2 linked regions of the Daphnia pulex genome follow. The protein of the gene in region 1 binds, or shares a complex with, the protein of each later gene. Links are inferred from orthologs where the notes say so. Each region holds a gene or a part of one and is shown in the gene's direction. Other genes may lie near its edges.

Region 1 (4,625 bases):
TTCTTTTCTTCTTGAAAATTCCGTGACTGATTCAATGAAAGCCTTATTTCCGGTTCATGTGTCGAGCATTTCCGCTTGACGATTACCTTGCCATTAAAAGAAAGTGTCCTCTCAAGATCGTACGGCCTGATAATTACCTTGAATGTTTTATGCTGTGTTGTATGGAGCAGAAACGATGTCATCACAAAGAAAACGTGAAGAATGGAGGGAACTTGCGGCAAATAGAGAGGATGCCGGATGCCAGAGGGGGGAAAGGAGGGAGTTTGAAGAGGGGAGAGAGAGCAAAGTTTAAAACAGGAAACCAAATTCTATGGCTTGGTGAAACAGCAGGGAATGTCCAAATTGAAAGAAGAAAAGGGCCGCAAGGGTTTAAGGCGGCTGGGTGAGGAATGAAGAAACGTGAAATTATAGTCTCAAGTGATGTGAATTTGGCCCTTCCACCAAATCTAATAATGGTCGGATTTTCAGTTGCTTTTCAATTGTAAACGTCCAGAATTGGTCTTTTTAAAAGTAAAGAGCCCGGATTATTCTCGTGTTCACACTTCTCACACAGATATGTGAGAAGATGCCTCTAAAAAAATCCCTTCAAGTTTATGTTTTCCTCTTTCTCACCTATCTTCTCCCCATCCCCCAAAGCCCACCTCACCCCAAAAGTGGACATGAATAGAATATAGAAATGCTATGCTGTCAAAGTTTTGAGTTGAATCATCATCCTTTTTTTTATCACAGGAGGACGACTTGGTGGTCCAACTGGTACATCGCTATGGTCCAAAGAAGTGGACGCAGATTGCTAAGCATCTGAATGGCCGGATAGGTAAACAATGCCGAGAACGATGGCACAACCATCTCGATCCTAACATCAACAAGTCACCCTGGACGGAGGAAGAAGACCGGCTGCTAGCCAATGCTCATGAACAATACGGAAATCAATGGGCCAAGATCGCCAAACTTCTACCTGGAAGGTATTGTCATAAAAAGAGCTTTGCCGATTTATCCATTCATCACATGGGTGTGACAGGAGCTTGCCTTGACACTTTTCTTTATTCATGCCTACATACCCGTTATCTTTTGTCTGATTTCTCTATCCAGAACGGATAATGCCATCAAGAATCACTGGAACTCGGCTATGAAAAAGCGCTATGAAACAGATGGTTCAAGCATCATTGACACAGGGAAACGACGTGGCCGGAAGCGAGTTCGTCCTGCAGTGGATGATCACCAACAGCATCCTCACCCTCTTGCTTCGACTCCGGTTAGAATTTATTGAAAAGTTTTGCCACAACAACGAAATAATCAAACCAAATTATTTCATTTTTCTTAATTAGATGCCATTTGAACAATCTTGCTCTGCGGAATATGGATCGGAACATCCGTCACCCATGTTTGAGCATCAGATGATGTCAAGGCCGTGCAGTCAAAACAGTCGTATGTCGGTAGAGTTGGTACCAAACAACTTTAATCCATCACCGGCATATCGAGCCCAGAATTCACACATGGGCATGTCACAGCCTAAGCAAAGTTGCTTTGATACTTACAATGGGGCCAGCTTGTCAAACAACATTGGTGGCAGTGTCGGCAGCCATTCAAGAGCCCCCTCTGTTTCCTCGCCTGAAGACTTTTCCGATATCTTTTCCCCTCTCAAGTATGTTGAGAGACCAATTGCTTTTCATCACATCCCTGAGAAGAATGTAAGCTGACATTTCATTTTTCTCTGTGTGTGGTTTCACTAGGTACGTCATGGGTGAATTGAGCAGCCCGGAAAGTCTGAGCCCCAATCGCTTGAATCAAGCTCTGATCAGTGAGACCCTATCGGAGTTTCCACATTTTGAATTCGTCTCTACCAACACGACCGAACAGCCAGCTGTCGGCACCGCTGACAACGCACACAAACCAGATGATGTGATTGACGTCTATGAGACAAACAAACAAGGTATTGTTGAAATCCACTGACCTGATAAAAGATAATTTTAGATACTTGAATAAGCTTTAAGATTTACATGGTAACAGATTCCTGTTGATTGAATCAAAATTACTTCAAACGTCTAAAATGACATTTTTGTTTTATGTATTGCATGCACACAAATGAGTTGATAAAACTAAACTTTGCATTCGGTGGAGTTAATTTAAAGTGAACATATTTTAATCCCTTTTTTATTTATTAAGGAAATGCTACAAAGAACAACGAGAGCACGTCGTCAGAAAACAACACATCTACTGTCAGTTTGAAACAAGGCACTCCTCCTATATTGAGAAGAGGCAAGAGCCGAAGAGTGAGAGCCGACTCAAGCGGATATGATGGAACATCGTAAGTTTTTATCAACATATAACACAATTTTTTACATTTTACAATAAAAAACCGATCTATTTTCACAGTGAGTGGATGGGAACTTCCAACGAAGAGGCTGTTCCCGCCGATTTGGACCTCCGCTCAGATTGCGCAAGTTTGAACAAACCATTCCAGGAAATGCACTTTACTCCGCGTAAGAACGCCCATACGCCGATGAAAACACTACCCTTCAGTCCTTCCCAGGTATATTTTTGTTGCGTGTATTCCAACTTGCAGCCAAATTTTTAAATGTTTTTATGCATAGTTTTTGAGCAATTCTGTGTCAATCCACACGGAAGCCATCATGTCAACGCCTGTTTGTGCCTCAGCGCCCAAACCATCTGCGCTCTTGACCCCAGTGACCCGTGGAGGATGCGGTATTGCTGATTATGTTGCACTACGAACTCCACTTCGTAGAAATCAAGAACTCATCACTCGAACCCCCACTCCCTTCAAAGACGCTTTGGCAGAAATGGAGAAAAAGGGTGGACCTATCAACTACATTGTAAGTTTCGTAAATATATCTTACCTTATTTTAACTAAATTTTCATCTGATATTTTTACAGTTAAATACTCCAACGCGGTTTGACGACTTGAACGATATTATCGGCAAGGACACCGACCCATCCGATTCAGCTTTACATACGCCTGTTCAGGTAAGAAGATATTTACGCTTTTTCAATTGATTGACACTAAAATTATTCATTGCGTGTAGAATTTACATCAAGATAGCGGCTACATGACAGATAGGAGGCAAACAACAAGTGGTGGTAGCTCTGCACCCTGTGTGTCTGCTTCTACTAAACCTAATAACAAAGAGAACATTCCTGGAAACACAGTTTTAACCTCAAATGGTCCCGCTCCAAAGTCTCCAAATCGTAGAGCTCGCAAAGCACTGCATGCCACTTGGAGCACTCCTGGAAATATCCAGGTGCCCGGAATTGGCTGCGATTCTATTAGTTTCTTACCTGAAACCCCTGTAAGTCTTTTCGATTGATTCGTGTTAATACATAAATCATTCCCTAATCTATTTGTTCTTTGTAGAGTAAATCCTTGATAGGTGATTCGTCTGTCTTATTTTCTCCCCCCTCCATCATACGCGAAACTCTTCCGGAAACTCAAGATGGTGACGACGCTTTCGGACATCCACCACACCGTCCCAACAGCAGCATCGAAAGCACTGGTTCTCGCAGTCCATCAGAGAAGGTTTGCCTTTCGGAAAAAAATCTGAGATGAAAAGACAGTCCATGGCACATCATCATGTTCTTTATGCAGGTGGACGTGAGATGGGAAATGGTGGCGTGCGGGCGTACTAGAGACCAAGTTGAATTGACTGAACGAGCCCGCTCCTATTTGGTTATGGATCACAGACGTGGAGGACCACTTGCATGCAAAAAGAAATGCACATTTTAACAAAAATTTCTAGCTAAGAGATCTAGCGTTTGACACAATTTTGGTAGCATTTAAAAATGGATTTTGAAATTTTTGTTTTCTGTCATTTGCATGAAATTCTTTGTATTAATTAACGTACTCAACGACATCGTATTAGGGTACGGTTTCGTGTAAATTAACCTCTCTAATGATAAGCACAATCCGTTAAGAGAAAAAAATTAATTTTGACGGCGAACAACTTTGAACATGACGTGAACAGTGACCTAGTCTTGGCACTGTTTCTTTTTAACCTCTGGTATTGCTTACCGCTGCGAACAAAATTAGTGGATGAATTTTCTTTTACATAGTACCTTTCGCTAATAAGCTTTAAGAATATGTAATGGCTCCTTGGAAATTTGATTTTTCTTGTTTTCCTTCTTTTTTTTCATCTTTTTATTTTTATAACGAATGTCAGATATTAATCAATATATTACCCGTGCTTGGTTTCGTAGCTCATAAACACATGATCACAACATTTCACAGGAAAAAATTCAAAAATTCGGCTTTGGTGGAAGTAAGGAAAAACCATGAAATCTTTGTCTAATTAGAATGAAATGTGTCGTATTTATCGGTTATTTTTATATTTGTAGTATTTCTTATGTAACCTGCTCATTATTGTCTCGACATTTACTCGCAAAATTGATTTCATTTGTTCTTAAACTCACATGGAAAATACTAAAAAAAAATACAATTATATTAAAACCATCTCTTGTTCGAAAAGTTTGCGATCTTTTCTGTAACGGTTTTTTTTTTCCTTATCGAACTTTAGATAAAAAAAAAATAGATAATGGTGACTTATCGCATCAGAGCGAGTTTAAACTTTAAAGTCGACATGCAGTAACGCTTTTTATGGAATCATTAAACAGAT
Region 2 (3,203 bases), on another chromosome or scaffold:
AGTGGTTCGCCAGCAACAGTCAACTTCTCGACCATTACAACCAGTGCTGCTACTGTTGTGTCAGATTCTGTTGCTTCGCCGGTAGTATCTAGCGTCAGTACAACTTCCCGTTTATCCCAACAACCAAAAGCGGCTCCTCCGCCTTCTCCCGAGTCTGCTCAAATGTCGGCTTCTGCATCCCAGGCAAAAGCACAAAGTGTACTGGAATCGAACGGACTAAAGCCGCGCAAGCCATGCAATTGTACCAAGTCGCAGTGCCTCAAACTGTAAATTCATCCACTTTCTACTTCAACATTTTAGAAAAATAGGGAATTAACTCTTGGGCTTGAAAATTTTCAGTTATTGTGATTGCTTTGCCAACGGCGAGTTCTGTCATGGTTGTAATTGCGTCTGCTGCGCCAACAACTTGGAGCACGAAGAACTACGTCTGCGAGCTATCAGATCATGTTTAGATCGTAATCCACATGCATTCAAACCCAAAATTGGTGTCGGATGGGGTCCGGAGCCAAGACGTCACAATAAAGGATGTCACTGCAAGCGCTCCGGCTGTTTAAAAAACTACTGCGAATGTTACGAGGTTTGTTTGTTAAATATGTTTGAAAAAATTAAATATGCACGATTATTTAATTGTTGAAATTGTTCCGTAGGCCAAAATAGCTTGCTCCGCCATTTGTAAATGTATCGGATGCAAAAACTGTGTCGATCCTGCTGGTTCTCCGCCAGGACCTGGAGAGAAAAGACTCTCGAAAATGGCAGCCCTTCAAACTAATCCGAGCAGTTCTGGCGATAGCCGAACGGTGAGCAATCCAGCTTCTCACAATAGCAAACAAGAAGACCGCACCACTGATCCTCCTAAAGGCTTTTCAATACCTACAGCAGCTGGGTCGAGGTATTGTTTTTCACAATTTTTGCAACGTTCTTCACGTTATAACTGAAATGGTCGTGATTTTCTGCAGTAGGCCGCCGTTTAGTTTCATCACCCAAGAAGTCGTGGAAGCTACGTGTCAGTGCCTTCTTGCCCAGGCTGAAGAGGCCGAAAGGCTGTGTAAAACCTCTACTGAAACGGAAGGCCTCGTTCTTGAAGAATTCGGTCGATGCCTACTTCAAATAATAGAATACGCTTCCAAAGCCAAAGGTACTATCAAAATTGCCGTCAACGTCCAAAAAATTCAAGCGTTTAGAAAACAATTAACTCTCTATATCCTATCTCTCAGTCTCTGCCAGCCCTTGATGACACGTCGCCAACCGGGTCAGCAATCGAACAGAGATGGCCAACCATCTCACGGATTTCATTTCTAAATTTACTATGTACAAAGTACGGTCCCAATAGACTATCCCCCAAAGGGTTTTAAACAACTCGCGGCCGTTTAGCTTCAGTCAATTTTAGAGTGAAAATATGATCGCAGAACAATTTACAAATATTTTTATTTACCTTTCTTTTACAGTAAAATTATAACCTCTTGTACAGCTAGGTAAACAGTGAGCTGCATTGAAACTTTAAAGACAAACAACGATTAATTTCATTGAGTTTCAAGTGGTGGTAGCGCCCAAAAATAAGTCGTGATTTTTGCCAATTTTCGAATTCTATTGTCGAAGTTAAGTTGTTGAGCGCTACCACTAAAGAATTGAAATTAAAGGCTGTTTTTCTTAAAAATGTACTAGTAGCTTATTCTTTACCAATGTGCAAACGAGGTTTTGATTACGTTACTGTAACAATAACATTGTTTCAAGAACTAATTTTTTAATTACTAAAAAACATTTATAGTATCTTTTCGGCTGTGAATGTTTAACTCTTCGTTGAATAGTCTATTGGGACCATAGTTTTATACATTATAATTTTTTAAGAAGAAATTCAATGAGATGGTCGCTTTTGGTCGTTCGGCTTAAACTGACCCAAGCTTAGTATAAATGGAGCCGGGATTTATTTGTTGATAGAACTCCGTGCATGTCATAGATATATTAACCTTCTGTCTTTATTGTTTTGCTACTGCTTCTTTTGTTCATCTTGAGTTTTTTAGATGTAAAAATATGGCTTCAAGGGGAGATGATTTAGGACTTTTTGACGTGGTTCAAATATACCATAATCTAAGGCTTGAAGAGAGTGAGTTAAGTTAAATAGACACCAAATATAATTTTTTTTTTCTTTGGTGTAATTTTGGAATATTGGTGTAATTTTCATGCTCCTTTTTTTGTATAGAGCTGTGCATTTTGTATGGGTGATAGCTAACTGGGTAACCAAATCTATAGCTCATACCAAGTTTACTCGTTTTAACTAAAAAAATGGAAATCCAATGATCTATAATATTGATTACTTTGTAATGGTTGTTATTCCCTTGACTTGTTTTACTTTTGGTTTTTAAAATACAGAACGATGTGGGTTTTGTATTCGGGTTTTCTAACATGTCCTGGTTTTTCCTAGTTTTAATACTAGGTTAAAGTACTAGTTTCCGAAATATCGAAAGAGAGACTGCAAATCACGGTGAATTCGCATCGTTTAAAAATGTTTGATGGAATGTGTATATTGAGTCTGTAACTGAAATTGAATTAAGGAATATATAGCAATAAAATGATCCATTTCAAAGACTAAGAGGGAAGCGGAGGGAAGTAAAAATAAAACCGGGTTAGATTAGATTCGTTTTAATTTAGAAATACATTTAACATTTTGAACTTAATTGCTTTTCACTTTTTTCCCAAAATAAAAATTACAATTAAAAGCGCGTTATTTGTAAATTTTTTGTTTACCTACGCAGTACCCGTACTAAACTTGGAAACAGGGTGAGGAGGTCGAGGAGTGATCTCTTTTAGCGCCAAATAAAAACCCGACGCTCGGTTTCTTACGTGTCCCCGTTTTGTTTTGTTTTTTGTTTTTTTGCGATAACCCTCGTTAGAGTTATCGCAACTTCAATCCAAAAAAATCCTTGTCGTCAGGAAAGGTAGGCTTCCATCGCGATTTTTTATTTCAAATCATGGTGAATGGTTGTTCAACCTGAAAAGTTAGGACACAAAGTTTAGAAACAGAGCCGTTAACCACCTAAATATGCGGGTGTAAAAAAAAAACGTCGCAATTAATTCCCTAAGCATTACTTTTCTTGAAAACTGAATTGCACAGACGACAGAACCCCATAGACAGACGCCGGCGTGATCATCTACAAATGTGTAAAGTTCGAAAGACAAAAAATGATAAGAAAATTAATAGGCATTTT

What was found.
Region 2: myb-related protein A-like (region 1) and protein lin-54 homolog share a complex: the UniProt entries of both Homo sapiens proteins name them as parts of the DREAM complex. The link is inferred for Daphnia pulex from reciprocal best matches to the Homo sapiens genes MYBL1 and LIN54.

Annotation. Positions count from the first base shown.
Region 1 is NC_060022.1:6,353,542-6,358,166, forward strand, and holds the end of myb-related protein A-like, read left to right. Parts: intron 1-729; coding exon 730-962; intron 963-1,089; coding exon 1,090-1,252; intron 1,253-1,325; coding exon 1,326-1,642; intron 1,643-1,730; coding exon 1,731-1,930; intron 1,931-2,163; coding exon 2,164-2,305; intron 2,306-2,373; coding exon 2,374-2,530; intron 2,531-2,591; coding exon 2,592-2,831; intron 2,832-2,892; coding exon 2,893-2,982; intron 2,983-3,041; coding exon 3,042-3,305; intron 3,306-3,370; coding exon 3,371-3,532; intron 3,533-3,601; coding exon 3,602-3,739; 3' UTR 3,740-4,462; downstream 4,463-4,625. UniProt on the Homo sapiens protein: Transcription factor that specifically recognizes the sequence 5'-YAAC[GT]G-3'.
Region 2 is NC_060026.1:5,752,729-5,755,931, forward strand, and holds the end of protein lin-54 homolog, read left to right. Parts: coding exon 1-266; intron 267-339; coding exon 340-577; intron 578-647; coding exon 648-889; intron 890-956; coding exon 957-1,135; intron 1,136-1,214; coding exon 1,215-1,231; 3' UTR 1,232-2,385; downstream 2,386-3,203. UniProt on the Homo sapiens protein: Component of the DREAM complex, a multiprotein complex that can both act as a transcription activator or repressor depending on the context. In G0 phase, the complex binds to more than 800 promoters and is required for repression of E2F target genes.